Coturnix japonica: one gene and its partners. The protein of the gene in region 7 binds, or shares a complex with, the protein of the main gene of each other region. Links are inferred from orthologs where the notes say so. Each region holds a gene or a part of one and is shown on either strand. Other genes may lie near its edges.

Region 1 (3,482 bases), on a different chromosome or scaffold from region 7:
TCTAAGTTAATAGTCCCCAACAGTGATGAGAAAGATCAGAGATAAAAAGGCTCCTCTGTGCTGCGTCAGTTGTTTGCAGATTGTCACAACTGCCCAAAGACAACTGAGGAATCACTTTGACGATTCTCAGAGACTCACCAAAACAAAGGTTTTTTCAGTTCTTTAACTTTTTAGCCCTGTGTTTTCATCCTCAAGTCTGATGCTTCATCTTTTACACAGAAAAATAGTCATGCATACCCCACATAGAAATAGGTTTGTCATTTTGGGAGAAGCAGAGAAAGGACTCCTTGCTAGTGGGATTGAAGTGTTGAGGAAGTTTTTCTCTCTGTGTTGGTCTCCCTCTTCACCATTCAAAAAACTGATCTGCTCCCTTTCCTTGCAGAATGCCTCCTGCATTGGCCCGTTCTCTACTTCGAGGTTCTGTCCCTGGATTTCTGGCAGAGGTATCGTGTCGAAGGTTATGGTTCTGTTGTGCTGCCAACATCTCCAGGTAAAAAACCAAACATCTTTGGGGCAGTATGTTAAGTGTGTAGGGAAATAGGAGTTGAGTGGTTCTCTTTGGAACAGCTGCACCTAATTCTGGGAGGCTTCACCGTGTCATTTTGAAATGAATAGTTTGCTGTCTGTGAAGCAGCAGAGTGATGTGATGTGTCTGCACCTTCTGCCATGATGAGAAGCATTGTGTTTTGCTGTACTTGTTCTTCCAGTGGTTCTGCTGGAGAACTGTATGTGATAAAGCTCTGCATGTCCATCTTTACAATAGCAGTAGGCCCTTTCTGTTGTGTATGTAATCCCAGGCTCACAACTAGTCTAACATCATCACATAGTAAAGGGGATGGTGTCAGTGCTGGCTGTGTGGCTGGGGCTCATTGGAAAAACCTGGGAATCAGTGGGTATTCATCAGTAGGTATCCGTCCACCATGATGTCCTCTATGACTGTCGGACAGTACTGCTGAACTGTTCTGTTGTCTTGGCTCAGGTCTCCACGTGCTCACCATCCCGACCTGGCGCCCTGTAGAGCTGGGTACAGTTGCTGAGATGAGGAGATTTTTCATCGGTGGGTCTCCTGAGCTGGAGGACGTGACCTATGCCAGGATACCAACAACCTTCAAGGTAGGCTTAGCTGTGGGATGTTGCTCTTGCTGGGAAATGGTGGATTATGCTCTTAGAATCAAAGAATCATAAATTATCCCAAGTTTGAAGGAGCCCAAAGGATTATCAGTTCCAGCTCCCTGCTCTACACAGGACTACCCACAGCTAAAGTGCATGTTCTGTGTCCAAACACTTCTCTAACTTCAGCTGCTTTGATGTTCCAGTGGCTCCCCTGGGAGGCCCAACAAGCCTCTTAGAGAAGACCTCTCACCATCTTTGTTGCTGTCCTTTGGAATCTGTTTAATAAGCTGATGTTTTTCTCCTATTGTGGCACCCAGACTGAACAAAGGGCTCAAGATGGAACCCTTCCCCCAGCACTGTATCTTCCCAGTGGTCAGGTCCTGCCCTCAGCACAGCCTGGAACTGTCTGCTTGTCTCTCTGACGTCAGTTTCTGTTTGAAGCAGTGCAAGGAGTGATTCTGTGCCTGCGGGAGTGCTTGTCCTGGTGGGGCACACTCGTTGGGGTCAGCCTGCTGTAATAGGTTAGAGGCTGTAGGTACTCTAACTTGTGCTGTTTTTGCAGGGAAAGCATCTGAGCCGCTTTGGTTTTCGCACAAAGACAACAGGGAATGTCACGTTCCGGCTTTACTGCCTGCAGCAATCCAAGTGAGTGCAGCAAAGTGAGCACAAGCTCTGTGTTGTGTGCTGTGTTCTTCCAGCCCTGACCTCGAGCTGTACTTCTGTGCAGAGCCTTTCTGGAAACTAATGCCCTGAGGCATCGCATGCAGAGCGTTCTGGACCGGCTTGGAGGCCTCAGCCAGCAGAGCTCTGTCTACAATGTTCTGGGTAGGACCTTCAGTCTCCTTCTTCGAGGAGGACCTTTGTCTCACTTTTACCTCCTGTTTACAGGTTGGTCAGGGTATTTCAGGAGAATCCATTGCTTGAAGTGGAATTATCCCCCACTGTGAGCTCTCTCTGAGTTAAAACAGAAGTTAAATGTTCTGACCTGACATTGCTGGAAATTTGAGGAGGCATCAGCCCTGAGCAGTCAGAAGGGATACTCGGTCCATGAGGGCAAAGCCTGGGCTGGGCTGCCCAGTCTTGCACTGAACATAACTTGTGGCTGCGGTGTGCAGAGTCAGTCTCTGATCCATTATGCGCAGAGCAAAGAGCAGCAGCAGTCAGGTGGTACTTAGTGAGACCCCTGTTCTGAGAGGTGATGTGCACTGGACAGACTTGTCCTTCCCGTTCCCTGCGGCTGTCTGATGTGTTCTGACTTGCTGTCACCTGCTGTGTTGCAGAGGCTTTCCATCGGGCTCGGCGGCGGATGCAGGAGGCCCGTGAGAGCCTTCCCCAGGACCTCATCAGCACTTCTGCCTCCAGTGTGTGGAAGAACCCTGACTGACAGACTGACAGACCGACAGCCTCACTGCCTCTGGCCTGGGGGCAGCCCACATCTCTCTGACAGAAGCTCCCAGTGCCCTGAAGCTCTTTGAGGCCCTTCCTTTGCAGACAGGGGCAGAGATGCTGCCCTATGTCTCTCTATAGCACATCCATACTGAGAATCGTTTCCACAGGTGCGCTGTTTGAAGGCATTTTGTTACCAGGCCTTGATGTTAGAGCCAGTTGTTCATGTTTCTGCTGAGCTGACTAAAATACTGACATGAGACACGTGAGCTTTTTGAATATTGAATTGTAGGCAATGAGAAAATTTTCAAGTCTACTTGACTTGATAGATTTACTTTTCTTCTTAAAGAAGAGGGTTATGTTGAAGGTCAGGGCATGAATGTTGTTTGAGATTTAATTAACTGAGTAGTGAACTTACTGATAGTTACCATCAGCATTTGAAGCTTTAGGTCAGTTTTCAGTAAAATGAATCTGACCACCTGAGATTTAAAACTGATTCATTCCTAGAGAAAGGGAGGGGTCTTCATCGCATGGAAACCAAAGCAAGGAAATTATGTGTGACAGAGGCCAGACTGGAGAAGAGGGTTCTGTTCTGTATTTCTTTTTATCTGTGGAATTTCTGGCTCTTCTGACTGCAAGGATGAGCAGAAGGACTTTGGGAATACAACTGAAAATACATCTTCTCTTTAGTTCATAGAAGAGCTGGGCTGGATGTTGCAGATGAGAACAGATTGTGACATTTGCACAGCAGCTGAACTTTGAACTGTTAAGCTCTTCATCTGAGCTGCAACTCATTGCTTGAGCTCAGCAATACACTGCATTGCTTCCTGGGGAAGCATATGTTTACACAGTTTTTACTCACTTTCTTCTTCTTTTCTCAGCCTTTTTTATTCCCCTATTTTTGTTCCTGTCTCACGTTCACAGGACTGGGGCTACCTGCAGACCCACAGTGATAGGAAGAAAAATATCACACAGGGCTGAGT
Region 2 (3,805 bases), on a different chromosome or scaffold from region 7:
CTCTTCCACAAGTTCAAGGGCACCATCCTTCTGTCGGCAGCGTACCTGGCACTCAGCATCTCCTTCCACATCTGGATCATGGTAGGTTTGAGGCTGCTGGCTTCGCAGCTCCTTTCTCCCTTCTGTCCCTCTGTGCTGTGGGAGGAAGGCCATAATCTCCTACTTGTAGCTATCGGGCTGCCTCATCCCAGCCCCCAGCCTCAGCACTGCAACCTGCTTGAAAACCCACACAGAAAACCTTGCACAGAAACCCACCACAGCAGAGTGGTCCCCAGTGAAGGCCATGACAGCAGATCCTGCTTTGTTTACCTGGGATTAATCCCCAGCAATCACCAGCGCTCAGAGGCTGGAGTGCTGAAACCCTGCTGAAAAACAAGTCCCAAGGGTCCCTGCTGTGTCCAAGCAGCTTTGTACCCCCTCTTCCCCATCTCAGCTCCCCCCATCCTGTGCCACAGTCACCATTTGACAAGCAAAGCAGCCAGCAGGTGCTTCCTGTATGCTTTTCAACAGGAGAAAGGCCCATCCTGCTGCCCCTGGGCCAGGTCTGTGACTGAAGCTGACCCAGGGATGTTGTACCCACAGCGTCTGGGCAGGAGATTGATGGGGATTTGCAGGGATCTAAAGTCTGAAGCTAGAATAGGTCCTGACTCGCTGGCCAAATCCCCTGAGCTGCTTAATCTTTGGAGCTGCCACCAAGAGCACGACAGCCCTTGTGGGGCCAGCTCCGTCCCATCGGGATCATCAGTGATCCCATGGGTTCAGTGAAGCCCATGGGTTCTTCCTTGTTTCCGTCTGTGTCAGAACCTGCGCTGGAGGGATTCCAGCCGCTTCATCTGGACCGAAGGCCTGCAGACACTGTTTGTTTTCCAGCGGCTGGGTAAGGGCTCGTGCTTACTGAGGCAGCAGGAACCTGCCTGGGGGACACCCCAGCTTAGTCCCTGTGCCCTCATCTCCCTCCCTCCTGCAGCGGCCGTGCTCTACTGCTACTTCTACAAGAGGACTGCAGTGCACCTGGGTGACCCGCTCTTCTACCAGGACTCGCTCTGGCTACGCAAGGAGTTTGCTCACTTCCGTGGTTGATGGCCCCCACTGCAGGAGGGGCAGCTCCTCATAGCCAGGGGATGGAAGGTCTCAGCCCCCCCAGCTCCAGCCCAGCTGTGTTCCTCCTCTTCCTGGTGGTGCCCTGGGAGCTGGCAGGGTGCTCACAGCTCACAGCCCCTGGTGGGATTGGGGCGTTTTTGTGAGTAGTGAGGAAATAAATTGTCTGTATTTTCCAGTCCGTGTGTGCTGGCTCTCTCCTCTTTTATCACGCAGCTTCTCGGTGTCCCACTACTCAGGGCTGTTCCCATTGGGTTGCCCCCCCCGGGGGTCCGCAGGCACAGCGAGGGGCGGAATGGGGGATTCGAACCCGCGGCTCGGTCCTCCAGGGCCATAGAGAGGGCGGGATAGAGCGGCCGAGCGCTTTCCCTCCTGCAGCCGCGGTTCCCATGGAGATGGAAGATGGCGGCGCGGAGTGAGTGCGGGGCCGGGAGCGGGGGGCGGCGGGGCCGGGGGCGGAACGTGAGGCGGGCGGCGGGGCCTCGCCCATCCCATCCCATCCCATCCCGCGACCCCCACAGGCCGCCAGCGCTCCTCGGCTCCGCTGCAGGTCCTGCTCTTCCTCAACGGCTGGTACAGCGCGACCTACTTCGTTCTGGAGGCCTTCATCTTCGCCTACAAGGGTGAGCCCCCGCCCTCCCGCTCCTCCGCCCCCCGCCCCCAGCGCTGAGCGTGGCCGTGCCCGCAGTGCTGCTGCTGCCGTACCCGCTCACCAACCTGCTGCTGGACGTGCTGCTGCTGCTGCTCTACCTCAGCATTGAGGCCACGCGCATCTTCTTTGGTGAGGCCTTGTCCCTCTATCCCGCACCCCGTTTCCCGGTGTCACACTGTGTGGTGCAGCCTTGCACTGCTCACCCTGTGCCCCGCAGGTTCCAAGGGCAACCTGTGCCAGCGCAAGGGGCCTCTGGCCGTCTGCCTGGCCCTGACTGTGCCAGCAGCCATCATGGCGATCTACTGCCTGCTGCTGCAGACCTATGCCCTGCGCCTGGAGGCCATCCTCAGTGCCATCCTCCTGCTCTTCTACTCTATGGAGCTGCTGCTGGGCGGCCTGGCGCTCGCCTCCTTCTCTAGGTAGGTGGCGTGGGAGCAGAGGGAGCTCTGGGGGTTCTCCTGTCCAACCCCCTGCTAAAGAAGGTTTGCTAGAGGGCATTACAAAGGAGAGCACCCGGGTGGCCCCACCACCTCTCTGGGCAAGCTCCTTCCAGTGCTCTATTACCCTCAAAGTCAAGAAGTTTTTCCTTGTGTTTCCTATTGTTGGTTCCCTACTGCCCCTTCTTGTTACTACCACCAGGCACCTCTAAAAAGAGCGTGCCCCCACCCTCTTGACCCCTACACTTCAGATCAGATCCCCTCTCAGCCTTGTCTTCTCCAGGCAGAACAGGCTCAGAGCTGTCAGCCTTTCCTTGTAAGGGAAGTGCTCCAAGCTTCAACCATCTCTGCAGCACTCCAGCAGGTTCCTATTTACCCAGAGCCAAGGAAACCAGAACTGGTCCCAGCGCTCCAGATGTGGCAGAGCAGAGAATAAGGAGAACCTCTGTTGCCCTGCTGGCCACACTCTGCACAATGCACCCCATGGTCCTGTTGGGCTTCTTGGCTGTAAGAACACTGCTAGCATATGGACAACCATTGGTCAACCAGGACACCTGTTGGCATTCTTGGCCACAAAGGCTGGTTCATGGCCAACCCATAATCCACCAGGACACCCAAATCCTCTGCAGATCCCCTTTCTGTCAGCTCAGCCCTTAACCTGCACTGATGTATGCAGTTACTCCTCCCCAGGTGTAGGACGCTGCGCCTTGTTGAACCTCATCAAGTTCATCCCCCACCCAAATCTCAGCCTGCCCAGGTCTCACTGAGAAGCAGCACAGCCTTCTGCTGGTTGAGCCTCTCCTCACACATCCTCTCCTCTGTTCTTTGCAGCATGGATGCATACTGAGGCCCTGCACCAGAGGACCACAGCAGCGCAGGTACACGAGATGGCAGCAAGCAGGTGGCACAGGCTCCATCTCCAGCCTGTGGTGGTGAGCCAGACCCACACTGGCACCTGTGGGCAGTGCCAGGGCTGTGCCTGGGTAGCACCCACCCTGCTGCCACCCAGCCCCGAGGTTTGTGACACACAGGTCAGTCCAAGGTACAGACAATTTGTTTTTTTTACAGCGTTGTAAGAAGAAATCACTATTTTCCAATAAATAGTTATTTTTATCTGGTGCCTGGGCACGTGGCATCCCCCCAGGCCAGAGCACCTCATTACCACAGCCAGCCCCTGAGCCAGCATGGGAGGCACAGCAGCCCTTAGGAAGAGCTGGAAGATTGGGGGTGGGGGGGCGTTACAGAAGTGCTTGGCTCTTGCTGCCCATCCACACCTTCATCCCCTGAACATCCCCACCAGAATCTCTTGAAAAGCTCCATATAAAAGACTGACAACGTCATCAAGTTTATTACACAACTTCCAACCTATCAGAAAGACAAACAAACCTAAGTCACTGCGGGCAGAGGGGGGCAGCGCCTCGCCGGGTGCTTAATAGAGGTTCCTCTCTGCACTTTTCCCCCCCACACTAATTGGAAAGAAACTATAAATTTGTGTTGTTACGTAAAAAAAAAAGCCAACAAAAACAGAACTCACCCACCAAATGCTTCCCCCCAGTGCTCACCTGATGGTACTTGATGGAATTCATTGTGTGATTGTAGCCTAACAAAGACCTGTGGA
Region 3 (3,500 bases), on a different chromosome or scaffold from region 7:
ATCACCTTCAAGAGCACCAACCCGGCCGGCTGTGGGTGCTGGGGCGTGGGGGGCGGTTTGTGTGTGAGGGGCCTGACTCATAGCCGTGTCTTTTGCAGGGCCGCAGATCGTAGTGAGTGTCTACGGACCTGATTTCTTTGGCAGTGATGTGGTCAGAGGTTATGGAGCCGTTCACATCCCCTTCACACCGGGAAGGTGAGGTGACAACCCTGAAATACGGGTTAGTTTCCAAGGTACCGAATAATTCCAGAGGCAAAAGCAGCCCTGGATCTGCTTATTGTGTCCTGTTTGTTTGCAGAAGGGACACAGCATTTCTAGCAGTCGTCCCATGTTATCCAGTAACTTTCGGCGATCCTTTAGGATTTTGGTACTCTTTAAAGCCAGAACTGCCCAAAGTCAGCCCACAAATGCAGTGGGTTTGCTCTCTCTCAAGAGCAATGTGTTTGCTCTACCCCCATTACTCTCAGCACTAAGCTTTCATCCTCTCCCCTGGAAACTGACTCAGTTATGCTCTTCTTTATGCAAGCAAACACTTCTCATAGAAGTATTTCTATGTTCAGTGCTCTGATGGGTCTGAATTGTTTCAGGCACAAAAGAACCATTGCAATGTTTGTTCCGGAGTCCACGTCCAAGCTGCAGAAGTTTACAAGGTAATAATTGAAGGCTGCTTAGTTTTAAAGATGTTCTTGCTGTTATTCACAAACGTCTGCCCAGCTGCTCACTGATGAGTCTGTGTAGATTCCTTCCATCACAACCAGTTTGGAGCTCCGTAAGTAAAGTCACATTTTCAGTTGTCTGAGTTTACTGAAGCGTTTACTTAAACTCAATGCCTGTCTCATTTGTTGGGTTTTCATCCTCTCAATTTAAAATGGTTGCTTTGAAAAACAAAGCCCAGCAGTACCTGAATTATTTTACTGGCTGTCTCCAATTGTTTCTTTTCTCTTCAAGTTGGTTCACGGGGAGACGTCCAGAATTTACTGACCCGAAAGTGGTGGCACGAGGAGAAGGAAGAGAAGGTAATTCTGCAGGAGCTCCTGCTGTAACCTTCGCATGACAACAGGCCACAGCTTGGCCATCTGCTTCTCCTCTTAGAAAAGCAGTCCTGCCCTGTTACTGAATTCAACAATGAGTCAAAATTTGCTCTGAACCAATGTTATTCACGTCTTCTTTCTCCTAGTAACGAGGGTCAGATCTCAAGGCTTTGTCACCATTTCCTTCAACATCGTGACTAAAGATATGAAGAAGCTGGGCTATGATGTGAGCCCAAGCGACATGCAGAACCCCTCTCTGGTGCCAGATACAGAAAGGATTCGTAAGTATTGAGCTCAGAACTGAGATGGTCAAAGGTACACGCAGAAATTAAGCACCAGGGATTGCTGGGGTTTCTCCTTCACATGGACAATGAGTATCTGACTCAACTGAGAACATTTTACCTGAGACCTTCATTCTAAAGACTTTGGAGTAATTACCTGGAATATGATTCTTTCAGAAGGATACAGGTTGAAAACTCATATTAATTAATGCTGTCAGATCTGTTTTTTATGCATAATATCAGACTATCAAAAAAGAAGACCTGCAAGGTATTTTTGTAACAGCCTTTTTTACACTCTTTTTATACTTCGGGAATAGGAAGGTTTGTGGTTGTGCTAATTTTCCTTTGTTTAAAACGTCAGTGCAATCCCAGTTCTTTTTATTAATAATGTTGTGGTAGAAGTGGGAAATTATTGAAGTTATTTAATCTTCCAAAACAGGAGGCAGGATGGAAATGTTCCAGTGAGACACACAGGCCTTTCTCTGTGCCACACACTTCTCTCTGCATCTTCATAATCCCACCTAGTGCTCAGTTTGTGCATCTAAATGAAATAGTTTGTGCACTGCAGAAAGAAACCCTTCATGGTTTTCATGGAGCAACCTGGGCTTTTGTACTTAAGAACAAGGTGATGCCTCTCATTTCCAGCTTCTATTTCTTCATCAAGTTGCAGGAGGGGGGGAAAAGGGACAGCAGCTTATTTTAGAAGTGTTAGAGAGATTGTGCTGTTAAATTCATGCCTGCTGATAATCATTCAGATCACACACTGTTGTGACAGTATGGATTCAATGAAGAGAGAACAAGAGTGTGAGGAAGCTGTTTACACAGATAATGTTCACATTTGTTGTAACTAGGTTTTCCCACTGCATAACCAATAGTGGGCATAATTGACTCAGCCATGAGAATATGCTATTGAAGTTAGTTTATTTATTTGATATGAATGAGGATCTGTTTCTGTAGGTAATTCTGTAGTGCCAATATCAGTAAAGTGTTATAATGGATGTATCTCGTGTCTTGTTAGTAACGCCTGAATGCGAGTTGATGTAAAAGCGCACCACGGCTGTGATAGTTCAAGCAGGGACAGACCCAATGTGACTAGTGTGTAGTGCAATACCCCTGAGTGACTGGAGGGTGAACCAGGATCTTACCCTTCCTCAGATCCTCATATTTAAGGTTGTTAGCAGAGGAGTTAGCGTATCTTACTAGAGATGCCGCCTACCTGAGCCTTTCGATGAGTTGATATAGCATGTGGTTTTTTCTAGTGTTTCGCATCCTTTGCTGCTGTATTGGTTTGTTTTTGTTTGCTGTAGTCAAAGCTTTGCTGCTTGGATGTTTTTGCTGTACTTTCTTCATTCTATGATCTGCTTATTCGGTTTCTGAACTCAAGCATTGTTGGTGAACAGGCAGATGCATGTTTAGGATGGATTACCTAAGAACAGTGGCGCATTGGGTGGTCACTGGAGCCACTAATAGAGCAAAAAGAGGAAATACAAGGGGAAACTCCAGGTCCGGGTCCATGCCTCAGTGCTCATGGATATTGGGAATGGGCCTCAAAGGGACAATGGTGACATTATTAAGTCCCGTTCAAAAATGTGACTTTCTGAATAAACTGGAATAAAATTTTTTGACTTAGGGAAGAGCAGTAGCAGCATCTGCTATAGCATGATCACTGCTACTATTAATGCAGATCAATCCTCTGAGAAGAATAGAGAAGAGAAATAGCTCTTTAAAGGCTGTACTAGGCAAGTGGAGAATAAAATTATGTCTTTGACGGAGCAAACTGCTTCACTTTCAAGTAGAACTTCCCCTCTGAAATTAAGGCCCATCATGCATTTGAGAGTCCAGACCTGGTTAAGATTTCAGCAGGAATGAGGGACCTCATACTACAACAAGCCCCTCCCAACCAGTAAGGCTTACGTCTCTGAGGGCAGAATAGGCCGGACTGGTTGACAAAGCAAGTGGGCTAATGCAGGCCTATCCAGAACCAAAACTGAACCAGATGTATACAATCAAGGCGCTCACCAAGTTGATGGATGTCTACAGGATGCCTCAAGTCAGTTAGTGTGACTAAGAGACTCATTTTATTGGCAGAATGGTACAACGCTGGGCAGAAGACAGCAATGCTGAATGGCGATTCCACCTGCACTGTAATCTGATGGGGCTTCTTAAGGCTGTGCTGAAGACAGACTCT
Region 4 (4,064 bases), on a different chromosome or scaffold from region 7:
CCACTGCCATACCACCACCATCTGCTTCTGACATTGTGGGCCAGCACAATGAAATAGCAGGTGTTACTTTCAGAGCAGCCTTCATAACATATGCAGTACAGTTACTGTATAAGAAATCAAATGTTCCAGTGTTTTTATTAAAACATTTTTATTTTTTTTTTAAAGAGTAACGAAAACCTCAAACCAATGGGATGTGTTCTTGTTTTTGTGAAGCTCAGCATGTGGTAAGAGAGGGCTTAAAAAAGCCTGGTAAAGAGATATGATGACCAAACTATTCTTTGGAGTGAATGCCTGATTGCAGCTGTTGGAAATTCACAGGTTATACATTTGTGTCAACTGAAAATGCAGTCATAAACATACCAAAACATTCATGATTCTTTGTTTGGTTTTTTTGTTTGTTTGGTTGTTTTTTTGGTTTTGTTTTTAAGTTGAGTTAGTGCTGCACTGCATCCTCCATGTCCCACACCAGCCCAGGCAGTGCTGATTGCACACCGATATGTGGTTGTTGTGAGCAGTGGGTGCACACCTGAGGTCACTTGGGCTGCCACAGTATTTTAGCAGGGCTTGGCTTTTATTCCATCAACTCAAGTGACTGAAAACTGACAAAATATGGATTTATTATAGAGGAAAATCATATCCAAAGCCCCTTTTCTTATTGGTTTGAGTCAAGGCAGCACGTTCTCTTCACCAAAGAGTACAGTGACTATGGCTAACAAATTCCTCACTCTCTTCATCTCACATTACAGGTTTATTGGACTCAGAGGAAACAACTTATCCTGTCGGCCTGGTTCCTCCTGGAGAAAATCTACTGGAGGAGGTTGCGCTGCCTATAAAGAAGTTATTCATGTAGTAAGCCTGCTCTTGCAGCTAGCACTGTGCCAGCTTATAGTGAAGTCAGAGCGGGGTCCTTGGCAGGAAACACACTGGAAAGCAGAGCCCTGCATGGCCCTGGAATGGGGTGAGTACAAGCAGCGGGAGCCGGGCTGGTGCATGAGCTGGTACTTTGCCCCTCGCAGCAGCGGGATGTACATTGAAAAGCAGCTGCCAGAAAAGCACAGCATCGGGTGTTCGTTCCCTTTGCAGTTTGATTTTCTTTTAACTTAGAGCTTGTCACTTCATTTGCAAATAGTGTCACTCATAACGAGGCGAACGAAGCCGGAATCCCGGTCTGTTCAAGGCCTCGCTTTCCCCGTCGCCGCACTGAGGATACCGGCTGTGCCGCCGAGGAGCGCGGCCGTAGCGGCGGGGCGGGGCGGAAGCGAGCGGCGGCTCCTCCCTGCGGGGCTCGGGACGGCGGCGGGGGCGGCATGGCGGAGCCGCGGGCGGGACCCGAGCGGGTGAGGGCGGCGGGGCTCCCAGAAGGGCGGGGGGGGGGCCGGGCCTAAAGCCTTCCCCGGCCTAGGCCGCGCTGTGGGCGTTGGCGGCGGTTCGGTGCGGCGGTGGGTGGGGGGCTTCGAGTTTGAAGAGCCGGCCCCCGTTGTGCCGCTGGGGCGGCCGTGGGTGTGTCTCGTCGGAGGGTTCCCGTGGCCCTGCTCACCGAACGGCACCGGGGGATGGAGTCTCCAAATGGCCATCTCGTGCAGCCGCCCCCTTGCTGTGGCCTGCGGTGTGCTCCTCCGGGCCATGGGCAGCTGCAGCTGAGGGCTGGAGATCTCTGCCATATCCTAGATAATTAACGATAGTTATCGCTCAAACGATGATGAAGGCAATAATGAGCCCCGAGCTAAACTTCGCTTTAAGCTTCCTCGTGCGGCGAGTCTCACTTAGCAGGTGAAAATCCCCGAGCAGAGCTCACCTGAACCTTTACCAGCACATAGAGCAATGGGGTTTGGGGCAGGTGCCATTTAGGACAAGCTTTGCTGCCAGAGCAAACCACCATTGATTCTAGCAGGAATAGTGCTGGGCACTGGCCCAGGGGCAGGGAGGTTTACAGCCAGCTAATCCGGGCAGCCAGAAGCTTATTTTTAGTTCAGAATTAGCAGAGGTTCAGCGTGAGCGACGTCAGGAGTGGAGAACTGTTCACAGTGCCTCTTCCAGGGAACTGCTTCCAATGATATGGGGAAAAAACAAGTGGTAAGTTGGGGGCCCTTGAGCTTTACTGGTCAGGCAGGCTTTTGTGTTGTTGGTATCAACTGAGTTCTTGTAATGTAGGAAATGTTTAATGCTATACTTCTTATGTATTATTATATAATACAAAATCATCCAGTGCAAGAACTGCATTTCAGATTGACAATAGGAGATATGTGTTTCTTACTCTTTATGTATTTGGTTGTGTATGAGAACCTGGTTTCAGAAGCATAACATAGATAGTGTGAGTTATTATTGCCTCTGAAAGCAGCTGTTCTCTGTGGAGTGGTTTAACAGACCTCGGGATGATTTTGCACTGTCAGAAGCTGACTTCTGTCTCTCCGTTATGTTTCAGCGCCCTCCACGTGCCCTCCCCCCAGTGCCAAGGTAAGATCAGTTCGTTCCACAGGATTGATTGTGGTTCTCTACTGCTGTGTTTTTAAAGGAAATGAAATGAAAGAAAATGAGTTTGAGTATCTGCACAGTCACAGTAGCTTTTTAAACATTTGCTTTTCTTGCTGCTTTGTTGTTCTAGAATCCCTCACAAGAATTATAAAGCATTTAACGTTTTTAGAGGCTGAGAAATTGACTCATTTTTAATTGAAGTTTACCTCACTTTTAATATTCAGGAAGATTAAACCTTTTAAAGTCTTAGACAAACATCAACTTCAGTTTTATTAGCATCTGTATCAGTTTTACTGATGTTTCTCTTTTCACTTTCTTCTTCCTTAACTCTTTGTTGCTGTTGTTTTGCTACATTCTTTGGTACGTTTAAATCACAAATCCTTCAGGACAGGGATTTTTGAAATCAAGCTAGGTGTTATCAAATGGAGACACAGGTGTTTATCAGTTTGACATAATATGGAATCATAGAATTGCTTAGGCTGGGAAAGACCTTATAGATCATCGAGTCCGACTGCATCCAGAGAAATCTGGGCTTTTTTCTTTTTTCCAGCATTTTAATGAGCAGTGTGGAAGGAAAAGCAATTCTACGGATTTTTATGGCATGATATGTCAGAATTCCTTCAAAGTACCTTAGGGCAAATGTGATGTTCATGATTGGCAACATATAAAGGTGTATTTTTAGTAATGTGTATGTTGTAATGTTTCATAACTTCTGTTAGTTTGTTACATGTCAGGCAAGTTTTAATTAACCAGGTGATTATCGCTTTTAATCTGATCTATAGCTGGCCAATCAAGAAACTGCACAGTCACGGACAGTGTTGAGTCTGGATGATTGCTTTGTACACTTAACCCTTTTGTGTACAGTTGCCAGTAAATAAACGTGGGAATGGAAATAAGGGGAATAATGAAATGAAAAAGTAGAGAGAATGTCACTGTTGTGAGTTGATTAAAAACTAACTCTCTTCTTACCTTTGCTCCTTTGGCGCTGCTCTTCAACACCTTTTCTCATTAAACGTGAAGTGGAAACCAGGGTGAGTTATTCTGTCATCAGAGAGAGTTGTAACCATCTATATAGTTCTTGTGTCATTTTATCCTCTCTTGAATCATAGAATCATAGGATTGCCTGGGTTGAAAAGGATCACAGTGATCATCTAGTTTCAGCCCCCCTGCTATGTGTAGGGTTGCCAACTGCTAGACCAAGCTGCCCAGAAGGACTGAAGGATTGATCCTTACACTCTTCCTAAATGCATGCAATCATGGGTATTCAGACTGTTGTTGTGAGAACTATCTGATCTTTTGTTCTTCTTACTAATTGCTAGTTCTGAGTTAGGGCAACTGTAATGTTGTCACTGTGTTCTGAAGAGTTCTCTGAAGTTTATTCTTCAGAGTATCATTCAGGTTTTCACTTAACATGTGCATGTGTATATTTAGCCTCTGTTACACGTAAGACAGATAAGTTATTTTGCTTTCCTGCTATCTACTGTACTTTTCCTGTTTCTGAACATTGGTGAATTGTCACCTGATCTGTAAAAGCTGAAATATGTCCTTGCTTTTAAAAAGGACTCTTTCTTAATTTGGAATGGTATGGTTGT
Region 5 (3,500 bases), on a different chromosome or scaffold from region 7:
TACAGATATGAGGTACATGAGAGTATGATTCAAGTAATATTAAATTGCTTCATAAAAGAGCAAGTTTGCATTTGCTTGTAAAAAATTGCAGTACTGTAAAAGGAAAATCTTTGTTTTGGTCTTTAAACATAGAAATGCAAAAAGAAACATGTAGTGTTGTATGAGCTTTCTTCAAAAGTGAACTAGGATTTTAAGATCCGAGAAAAGTAACCAGCTGTTCTGAACAAGGAAAGCTGTTAGCGGTGGCTTAAGAATTGACGTGCAATGTGGTATGTGGTGTTGACAGATGTAATGGAAAAAATAACTTCTGTTATACAGATTTACTGTTTATGCAAATGCTCTAAAACTTTCCACGAACTGAAATACACCTATATATTTGAATATGTCATTTTGTTTGGCAGTATGGTGTTCCTATACAGACGGTGGATGCATTTCTCAGGCTGCCTAGTCCTGTTGTCTCCTCTTGGTGCTCTGATGCAAACCCTGCAGGTTGGAAAATGTATTTGAATTCCAGTAGAATTCTGTTCTAACTTGAGCTTAATCAGTGAGTAAGCGATCACACCAATGTAAATTCAGATAAAGATCTGTGAACAAATGTTTTATGGATATCTTCTGAGTCTCTGGAGGTTTTTTTAGACATAGGGTGGAAGCTGTATTGCAGCTATGTTAGATATTCAGAGTTAGGTATGGGAACCCTTGGTTGGCATCTCTTTTTAGTGTTTTGTTTATGCAATGGTAAAACACCACTGACTTAATAATTGATTTAATTGACATAGTAAAATAGTACAAGGGTGACGCTGTGAGGGTAGAAGGTGTTGCATAAGCATGACCTAACTGGGCAACCTCTTTAAGACATCTTTCTTTAACAGAATGAGGTTTCTTTCACAGTTTGAATGCAACTGGGGTCAGACTTGCAGACTTGAACCCTACATTTTGAGCTGTCACAGTTTCTTGAAAATCTGTAAGGGAGAAAAACAGTAAAAAAGAAGGTTGCAAGACCCATCGTTATTGTTAAAGTTGTTCTTCTGCAGTTTTTCATTTGTGTTTTTCATAATTACTCTTTAATTTCCTTCAGCAATACTTTGTGACTCTCTTCCAGGGTTCTTAGTACACCAGGCTACAAAATGCATTCGATCAATCAGTGTGGAAAACTGTGGCAACGTTCAAGCAGTTAGTATGCTATTTTATATCAACTCCAGCATTTTAGCAGTAAGTATGATCTGAAAGCATCATGTAGCTGCCTGCCCATATTACATATTGCTTTGTATTTCCATAATTAATTGCTATTGCCTACAGGATATAATGTTTCCTTTTGATATTTAAACCATGGGTTAGGAAAAATCCAGCAGTCTTTTCTATATAAAGCTTTTAGAAGTGTTTTTACTTCACACTGAAGTAACAGGAGCATTTACTCTTGTCTGCTTAGCCAGCAGAAATAACGGTCTAGAAGATAGAAGCTTGTGGCACTGTGCTAACTGTGCAATAACAGCAACTTTATGTGCTTGTGCATGTAAATCTTGTACTTAAAGAATCTGTAAGGTTGGATCCTCTTCAGTTTTTAATAGTGGTGTTAATATAGAATTATTGCACACGTGTGCAATAATCTTCATTATACTCCTCAAGGAATGTGACCTTTTACCCCTCTGAGAGCAATCTTGCTCATATCCAGCTTACTATCAAATCTGGTATGTGGCTGTTTTTCAGAGCTAAGGTTAATTTTTCATTCCTTTTTGAACAGGAGGTTCATATTTATACAGCATCCCCTTGTTCAAAGGTTGAGGAATATTAGAGGGGGCCAAATGGTCAGGAAAGCTGGTCTGTAGGCAGTTCTCCTTGTGAAGATGGGGCGTGAAAATAAAAGAATTATTTTGTTTTGGGGATGGTCAGAAGGCAGAGCAGGGAACGCTTTCAGTGCCAGCAGGTGGAGCCACTGGCAAAAGAAATGTCAAAATCATCTGCCCAGGGAGGCCGGGAGCCTTTGGTGAGTGGACCCACACAACAGTTCCTTGAAGAAAACCCCATCATTAAACAAATGATACACAGCACTAGTAATGCTTTTCTCCTTTCTCATGCAAACAATCTTTTTCAGTGTTAGTTCTGAGTTGCAAACAGTGTCAGAGGGAAATACTAGATTTATCTTGTACTTATCGAATGCCTTAAATGTTTGTTAGGAGTGCAGTCAAAGCTCAGTCTGGTGGAAAACTGCTGGTAGTCACTAAGAAACTTTCCAGTTGCTGCCAGGGGAAGAAGAGCATTGAGCTGTAAGATTTTGCATACTAGCCACAAATAGCAGTTATTTTCAAACTACCTAGATACAGCAGCGTGCATCCAATGACTTCCACTATTCTGAATTCACTGTAATGATAGGGAGTTGAACAGGCAAAGCAATTAAACCTTAACTGCTTTACTTAACTGCTACTTGTAATAATTCATCCCTTTGCTATTGTTTGAAATTGCTCTTTTATTCTCCTCTAGGTACCTAAGTCAAGTCAGATGGTAAGTATCTTTCAAACTCAGAACTGGTGGGGGTAGACTTCTTACCCTATTATAGTCAGTGGGAGTTTTTCACTGACTTCATCAGAACAGTGACTTTAGCCTTACTCTTTAGAACAAAAAGTAAAGCAAAAATCCCCTACACGTGCCTTAGGAGAAAAATGCTGTGGTTTTTATTCAGTAATGGTATTAGCAACACCAAGATTACATGCCACCACCAAGATAATACGCTATCTGCAGACAACTTTAATCTGATATAGTGCCCCAACATAAAACTATTAGCTGATTTTATTTGCTGTTTCAGTTTAACTTCATCAATACTCTTGCTTAAAGGACTATTGTCTGCTGTCCAGCACAACAGAACTTCTGAAGAGTCACACATATGATACAGAAGAAGCCAAAAATAAGTATACATAATATTTGGAAATGACATGAATTATTTTTCAGGTTAATATTACTGTCCGGTCTGTAGTTGTCCAGTCTCTGAACGGAAGGCACACTTTACTTAGCACCAGCCATGATCTCAGGAACCCTATGATTTCAGGTGAACTATGCATCAATGTAGTTCATGGGGTAGGTATGACATTTCCTTTTCCCTCTTTCATTTAGTAGAAAACATGTGTGCATCAAATAATTTCTGATTCACAACTTACAGACATGATAGAGGCCTTGCCATTTCCATATATTGCGGCATTTTCAAAGCTAGTATCACAAGAGAAACACAGCCTTCAGGATAAGAGTACATTTCACAATAAAACAATAACAATATGCAACATAAGGTGCAGTCAAGATGAAATCTGTTTTATTATTGCTCTACATATATGACATAATGGACAATGAGTTTACAATCCAGATTATCCTTGGTAGAATATGACTTAAGGCACAGTGGTAGCAGAGACAGAGGAATACACAGTGCAAATTACCTTTTTATCTTAAGGAGATGAACATTTAGAATTACACCTAGAAGTTTATCAAGAAGCCAGTTTTGAAGAGGCTCCAAACCTAGA
Region 6 (2,849 bases), on a different chromosome or scaffold from region 7:
ACTTCTTTTAGATTTCGGTGTTAATCTTGTCACACAGCTGCTTTGGTTATTACATCCATGGCCGCTCAGTTCATGGACATGCAGACACCAACATGGAGGAAATGAATATGAACCTAAAGAGAGAAGCAGTAAGTAAAAGTAGTAAAGTTTTACACCTACTCTAATGATTTTCTTAAATTAATTAATAAATATATACATATTTTAAAGGCTTGAATAAAGGCAGAATGAACTTTAAAAGATGTTTTAGAAGGTAATGGGTAGAACGCAGGCAAGAAGATGAATATGACTTTGTGACAGCAGGGGTCAGGATTTCATGTCCTAAAAAAATCTTGCAGTAATAGCCTCAAGAGTGCAGTGAATTCAAAGATTCGGAGGTATTGAGTACTGTATGTACATATCAGGATGTCAGGAAACACTTCACAGGAAGGATTGTTAAGCACTGCAATAGGCTCCCCAGGGAGGGGGTTGAGTCACCATCTCTGGATGTGTATAAAAACCATTTGGATGTGGTGCTCAGGGACATGATTTAGCAGAGGGTTGTTAGTTAGGGTACTACGGTTGGGTCACAGTTGGACTCCACGATCTTTAAGGTTTTTTCCAGCCTGAGCTGTTCTATGATTCCACATGAAAGAGAATAAATTAGAAGCCTTGACTGTTTGTTTTTTGGCCTATGTATGACATGAATGATGTTAATTTACAGTTACTTTAATTTGTAGGAAAACCTGTGCAGTCAGAGAGGTTTGCTACCAAACACAGACGGCCAGACATTTCAGATTTCCATTTCAAGAAAAATGAGACTGCAGTATGACAGAATTCATGAAACCCTGACAAGAGTAAGTGAGACATTTTGGTTCTGTGCATAGTATTTAAAATAACGTACTCTTCCACTAAAGCCACGGCCGTGTTGTGTTTCAGAGACGTGGCCCTGCTAGGTTTTTGGACTCATCTGCAAATACTTTTGAACAAAGCACGAGGGCGTACAACACCATGAACAGATTCCTGGGTTCTTTTATTGATCACGTATGTATATTGATATTAATACATTAAGGAAAACTACAGTAAGTACAGACTAAACATTGTAAATCTGCAGGCCTGTAGTTTCTATTTAAGCGTATGCCCATAAGGACTTGTTGTTCAAGATTTCATAGGAACTGAAACAGTGCTTCATTCAGATAAAAAACTGGAGTACTGTGCAACAGCGCAGCCCCGCTCTTCAACAAGACAAATCCTCTTTTGTTACATGTTTATTTTTATCTTGGGGTAGACCAATGCTTTCTTCATTCGTAGAGGTCTGAGTGGCTGTACTCCACTTTGGAAAGAGTCCGTTTTCTTTGAGATGATAAAACGGTAGTTGCATCTTTGCTTTTCTTACAGGTTCATAAAGAAATGGATTATATTGTCAAAGATAAGTTGCTGCTTGAGCGGATTCTAGGCATGGAGTTCATGGAACCGATCGAGAAAAGTATTTTCTACAATGGTAAAAGGATGTGTGACTTCAGATTGGTATTTTTATAAGTATATGTGTTTCAGTGTAGATTTACTCCCAGGATTTCCAACCTAAACTGGGCTTTACAGCAAGAGCGGCCTTAAAATGATTGTGAGGGAAGTATCTAAGAGGCTCTCTAGGTTAGAGAAATCCCACTTACAATCTGTCGCTTAATTGCAATGTTCTTTTTTCCCATAGGCGTCTTGAGAGGATACTGTGTACAGATGTGCAGTTGTTTATGAAGTGTTCCCTCGACTTGCTATCCAGATCTGATATCCACTTTTTAAATGGAATGAGATCCACAGTATTTAAATAGTTCAGCACTATGTTTTTGTAGAGAACTAAATTTCCTGTGAAGCAACTAAAAGAGCAGAAAGACAATTCCTCTAAAGAGGATATTGGTCACAGTGAGGATGTTGTAGTGAAATAATTGATTATATTATACCACCCATTTTTGGAGACATTGTTGAACTTAGTTCAGACTTTTACTCTGCCCCTATCCATAGATACGGCCATCACTAAGTATTGACTAGCAACCAATGATGGGGCCTCATTTTGAGCCCCTTAAATGCTTGACTCTCCAGTCTCACTGTTTAGAAACTTGGAACCTTATCAGAGCCATAATCTAATCCACTGATATTAACAGAATGACCATTACACATCCTAAATATGCCATCCTTGTATAATACCAATCCCCAGGTTACATTATTGAGCAGAGCAGAACGTTTTCTGCTGTCTCCTTTCCAACACCAAGGCTGCAAAATCTGAATCCCTCCTTTGAATCACAAACTTCGCTCTGTAATCAGGGATGAATAATTTGGTTATGGAAAATGGTGTTTTAAGCTTAAAAGACCCATTCGTGGGGAAATTGATTGCTAAGTGAACAAAGATCATGTTAATCTCTGAAGCTCCTTCTAGGTAGGGTTTAAGCATGTTTCATTACGTTCAAAACCACTGTCTCTCTGTAGATGAAGGACACTCTTTCAGTGAAGTTCTGTATTACGGCAATGAGACGACGCTGCTCATCTTCGATATCCTGTTTTTCTCCATTGTGGATCTGGCTTCCCAAAGTTTCGTTTTAGCAGCTATTCTAACGTATTTGCAACAGGAGGTAAACAACTTCTACTTAAATACTGTGGGGTACTATGAGAGCTTAAATAGTTTCAGAATGAAACCCTGGACACAGTATGTGATGTTAAATAGTCCGGAAATATTCATATGCATGTCATGAACAAAGGGATGACAAACAGCTTTCACTGGAAAACACAAAAAACAATCAAAATTAATTGCAACTAATTTTATCATGTTTGATGATGGTACTGGAAGAGTTTCAAAATCACTAAAGGCAGTTGAACACCTGATT
Region 7 (3,500 bases):
CTTTTGAGATGTGTACACCTTCTATTACACTATTACCTTCTGAGGTACACTGTGTATTGCAATAATGGATACAATGATTAGGAATACACTCCATAACTACAACATCTAAGTTCCAGAATCTTTCATCAACTTGAAATTATTACAATTTTACTAAAAAGGAGTCATGTATTATACAATGAAACATTATATTGTTTCACTTTTAAAATAACAAACCAATGTTGTATAATCTCTGTACATGCACAACTGCTCCCTGGAAGCTCTAAGTTCGTTCATCACAGACTCATATCACTTTTGCAACCTGCTCTGTTGTTTTTGTTTGTTTGTTTTTCTTTTTTTTTTCTGATTGTATCAGATTTTTTTCTTTCCTCATTTTGATGACAAAAACTCATTTACAGAAAGGGTTGTTAAGCACTGCAATAAGCTCCCCAGGGAGGTGGCTGAGTCACCATCCCTGAATGTGTTTAAAAACCATTTGGATTTGGTGCTCAGGGACATGATTTAGCAGAGGGTTTTTAGAGTTTGGGTACTATGGTTAGGTTGTGGTTGGACTCAATGATCTTTAAGGTCTTTTCCAACCTGAGTGATTCTATGATTTCATATTTTTTTACAGATTTTCTTGAAATGCCTCTCACCTCATGTGAGCAACTTCATTTTCTAAACTGAGATTCTGTTTCCTTAGCTCTTCCAGTTCTTTTTCAGTCTCTGAGGTTCTTACTCCAACAACATGGTCAACAGTAACACCAGTATTTTTCAGTTTCTTCTGAAGAGCAATTTTCTCTTTTTCTGTCCTGCAAGATGCAGTAAAAATTGCAGCTAAGCCTTTATTTGTATTTTCTGGCTTGTTTTGTTAAGGTGAAAATATTTTCAATCTGAAATAATTCTTAAAATTTATTTTCTCACTGTACAGCAACAGCTTTACAGAAATAATAGCGAGCATGAAGTTAGCAGCATGCTAGTCACAAGTTATTTGTTGTTCTTGTCTGTGTTTTATATTAAATTCCTGAGAGATTTATTCTGATCTCAGACAAATGCCATTTTGAAGCTATTAAAATCCACAATATAACAACAGTTACAACTACCATCATTACTTGGAGGTCATCACCAACCATCATTGCTGCAATCCTCCCAATACTGTACTGAAGTAAACTTAACATACAAATGTGGTTGGCTTATTTGCTATGTTTTGTTTAAAAAAAGCTTCGGTCTCATCATGCTAGAACTGGCAGTACTGCAGCAGCATAATACAACAGTGGCACACCATCCAATTCTAACAGTCTGATTCAGTAACACTGAGGTGAGATTAAGTCCATCTCGCTGAAACTTACTTGTTTCAGAACAGAACACCATATAAAGGAAACATAAGAAGGCACATAAATTAGTTTTATTCAGAGACAGTTTATTCTACAGGTGTAGAAGAAAAGAAACTTTGTGTTTTTTCCTTCAAGTGAGAGATAGTAAAGGAGTGGCCTGCTGCCTGAAAATTAAATAATTATTTTAATCTCAATAGCAATATCAAATATAGGCATCAATCTTGTAATGAGCTGTTATGAATTTGTGGCAAAAGTATTTGGATTTCTCTTATGCCATCACTTTGTAGCACAATGCATTAAAAACCACTCACCTGGAATAAAGTTCCTTCAATGTAGCGAACTGTTTGGCTAAAGTATCGGTTTCCTTTTCCTTTTCTTTAAGTTTGTTTCTCATCCCTTCCATTTTGATTTGCCATTTTTTACCTTCTTCCCATCTAACTATTTCCTCTTTCGAGGCCTGTGAAGAACATACACAAATTATATATTTCTTTTCAAACTGTTTTCTGAAAGAAAACAAACACATTGGAAAAACAATCACAGAGTATTTTACAATTTTAAATTTGAAACATCAAACCATAATTAGGTAAAAATCAGTGCAAGCTGGATACTCTAAACTTGCTGCAGTAACTGGCATAAAAGGATGATGCAATTTAATGTTCTAATATCAAATACATCTTCACATTTTAATGTTTACTTAAAAAAAAAAAAAAAAAAAGGGACAGTTTTTAAAAACATTAGATGTGCTTGTGAAATATATCCCTGTAATATAAATTACAGGTTTGTAAAGAAGATAAAGAAGGGCTTTTCTATGCCAATTTACCGGATATCTATCCTTTTTCTTGCAGCTTACCAGGAGGTTTTACGTTCCTCCTGCAAAGCTGCTCATTTGTACTTTCTTACAGTTAAAATTAAGCAATTATAAAATATGCCTGTATGTATATGATCACAAAAAATCACCCTGTAAACAACCCTTTTGTTCTATCACTGGACTTTTCCCTTTCTTCATTTCACCCCTGTACTTTCTGCCCTGTCTTCATTCTAAATTTACAGTTACTAAAAGACAGACAGAAAGTAAAGTCTTGCAAAAAGGAAAGATAAAAAAAGTTTGTGAAAAATGTCTTTAAACACTGAACAGTAAGTATATAAAAAACCTCAAACTAAGTGGAAACATAACTTTAGTACTGAATTCATAATTAATATAAAAGAATATGAACAATTACTGTGACAAGCCAGTAATTAGTTAACAAAATGGAAAAACAAACAATTGTAAAATGAATTTTACAATTTGCAACACCAGAGGCCCTGGGTTCGAATCCCCCCTGTGGCGCAAGTGGTAGAAGTGCCGCTCTGCTACACAGGAGGCACGAATCCTGAGGGCTGGACTCGATCTCTAAAGTCCTTTCCAACCCACACGAGACTGTGATACTGTGATACTGTGTGAACACATCTCCAGAACTTCCGGAAAGTGGAGACTGCTTTTGTGAAGAAAAAACACTTACAGACACATCACTGCTTCACACTTTTTGCTCCTCAAGTACTTCAAATTTTTATCAATGCATTGATTTTGTAAACGAGCATTTAACTTCACTTACTTAATCAGTTTCGCCGCTACTGATAAAATCTTAGTTTTCTACAACCTGTGGACTTTTAATTCTACAAAAAGGACAGGAAAACATTAAAATACAAGCACCTAGTACTAAGCAACAAGCAGTAACTAAGACCAGGGAAGGCAAAGAAGTGACGGACACGAAACTGCTTTTGATTTGATCAAGTCTGTCTGGTTCACAGTTATTTTAAGAGGCAGTGGAAAGAGCTAAACTGCCTACATTTAGGATGACATCTTTCAAAGCCACAATATTTGTATTTATCACACACCTTGTCTTCTTTTATACTTTTTTTTTCTGTTTCTTCACACTTCTTCTCAAGTTCATTTTCCAGTTTCTTAACTTTCTTCTGAAGCTCATCTATCAGATTTTGCTCACCAGCTCTGTTCTGTAAAATTACAAATTTTCAACATAAAGTTTAATTACCACTACCTAAGTATTTTTCTCCCTTCCAAAAATAAGGACTTCAATTCCAATTAGGAGAATTAGCTTACAACTTAAATGGTCCTTTAAAAATTATCTTTACTTCAACAATTTAACTCTGCATTCTAAACTGAACTCAGTATTAGTTAGTTGAATTCAGAAA

The links.
Region 1: CEP290 (region 7) and MKS1 share a complex: the UniProt entries of both Homo sapiens proteins name them as parts of the tectonic-like complex. The link is inferred for Coturnix japonica from reciprocal best matches to the Homo sapiens genes CEP290 and MKS1.
Region 2: CEP290 (region 7) and TMEM216 share a complex: the UniProt entries of both Homo sapiens proteins name them as parts of the tectonic-like complex. The link is inferred for Coturnix japonica from reciprocal best matches to the Homo sapiens genes CEP290 and TMEM216.
Region 3: CEP290 (region 7) and B9D1 share a complex: the UniProt entries of both Homo sapiens proteins name them as parts of the tectonic-like complex. The link is inferred for Coturnix japonica from reciprocal best matches to the Homo sapiens genes CEP290 and B9D1.
Region 4: CEP290 (region 7) and TMEM237 share a complex: the UniProt entries of both Homo sapiens proteins name them as parts of the tectonic-like complex. The link is inferred for Coturnix japonica from reciprocal best matches to the Homo sapiens genes CEP290 and TMEM237.
Region 5: CEP290 (region 7) and TCTN1 share a complex: the UniProt entries of both Homo sapiens proteins name them as parts of the tectonic-like complex. The link is inferred for Coturnix japonica from reciprocal best matches to the Homo sapiens genes CEP290 and TCTN1.
Region 6: CEP290 (region 7) and TMEM67 share a complex: the UniProt entries of both Homo sapiens proteins name them as parts of the tectonic-like complex. The link is inferred for Coturnix japonica from reciprocal best matches to the Homo sapiens genes CEP290 and TMEM67.

What each region holds. Positions count from the first base shown.
Region 1 is NC_029534.1:112,298-115,779, reverse strand, and holds the end of MKS1 (Meckel syndrome type 1 protein), read left to right. Parts: intron 1-382; coding exon 383-490; intron 491-979; coding exon 980-1,113; intron 1,114-1,675; coding exon 1,676-1,758; intron 1,759-1,840; coding exon 1,841-1,938; intron 1,939-2,393; coding exon 2,394-2,497; 3' UTR 2,498-2,982; downstream 2,983-3,482. UniProt on the Homo sapiens protein: Component of the tectonic-like complex, a complex localized at the transition zone of primary cilia and acting as a barrier that prevents diffusion of transmembrane proteins between the cilia and plasma membranes.
Region 2 is NC_029520.1:292,690-296,494, forward strand, and holds TMEM216 (transmembrane protein 216), read left to right. Parts: upstream 1-1,387; 5' UTR 1,388-1,500; coding exon 1,501-1,513; intron 1,514-1,619; coding exon 1,620-1,721; intron 1,722-1,786; coding exon 1,787-1,879; intron 1,880-1,967; coding exon 1,968-2,169; intron 2,170-3,018; coding exon 3,019-3,034; 3' UTR 3,035-3,305; downstream 3,306-3,805. Other genes in the region: TMEM138 (transmembrane protein 138), read left to right, coding at 1-81, 802-877, 968-1,080. UniProt on the Homo sapiens protein: Part of the tectonic-like complex which is required for tissue-specific ciliogenesis and may regulate ciliary membrane composition.
Region 3 is NC_029529.1:5,245,975-5,249,474, reverse strand, and holds part of B9D1 (B9 domain-containing protein 1), read left to right. Parts: coding exon 1-31; intron 32-98; coding exon 99-195; intron 196-587; coding exon 588-650; intron 651-948; coding exon 949-1,016; intron 1,017-1,177; coding exon 1,178-1,312; intron 1,313-1,751; coding exon of another isoform or gene 1,752-1,777; exon of another isoform or gene 1,778-1,928; intron 1,929-3,400; coding exon of another isoform or gene 3,401-3,465; exon of another isoform or gene 3,466-3,500. UniProt on the Homo sapiens protein: Component of the tectonic-like complex, a complex localized at the transition zone of primary cilia and acting as a barrier that prevents diffusion of transmembrane proteins between the cilia and plasma membranes.
Region 4 is NC_029522.1:9,998,900-10,002,963, reverse strand, and holds the start of TMEM237 (transmembrane protein 237), read left to right. Parts: upstream 1-1,264; 5' UTR 1,265-1,307; coding exon 1,308-1,337; intron 1,338-1,405; exon of another isoform or gene 1,406-2,055; coding exon of another isoform or gene 2,056-2,073; intron 2,074-2,422; coding exon 2,423-2,454; intron 2,455-3,492; coding exon 3,493-3,503; intron 3,504-4,064. UniProt on the Homo sapiens protein: Component of the transition zone in primary cilia. Required for ciliogenesis.
Region 5 is NC_029530.1:5,164,353-5,167,852, forward strand, and holds part of TCTN1 (tectonic-1), read left to right. Parts: coding exon 1-12; intron 13-401; coding exon 402-489; intron 490-1,099; coding exon 1,100-1,209; intron 1,210-2,475; coding exon 2,476-2,496; intron 2,497-2,940; coding exon 2,941-3,066; intron 3,067-3,500. UniProt on the Homo sapiens protein: Component of the tectonic-like complex, a complex localized at the transition zone of primary cilia and acting as a barrier that prevents diffusion of transmembrane proteins between the cilia and plasma membranes.
Region 6 is NC_029517.1:114,040,523-114,043,371, forward strand, and holds part of TMEM67 (meckelin), read left to right. Parts: intron 1-11; coding exon 12-128; intron 129-716; coding exon 717-833; intron 834-915; coding exon 916-1,020; intron 1,021-1,374; coding exon 1,375-1,477; intron 1,478-2,454; coding exon 2,455-2,597; intron 2,598-2,849. UniProt on the Homo sapiens protein: Required for ciliary structure and function. Part of the tectonic-like complex which is required for tissue-specific ciliogenesis and may regulate ciliary membrane composition.
Region 7 is NC_029516.1:38,934,392-38,937,891, forward strand, and holds part of CEP290 (centrosomal protein of 290 kDa), read right to left. Parts: intron 3,303-3,500; coding exon 3,186-3,302; intron 1,768-3,185; coding exon 1,622-1,767; intron 789-1,621; coding exon 633-788; intron 1-632. UniProt on the Homo sapiens protein: Involved in early and late steps in cilia formation. Its association with CCP110 is required for inhibition of primary cilia formation by CCP110.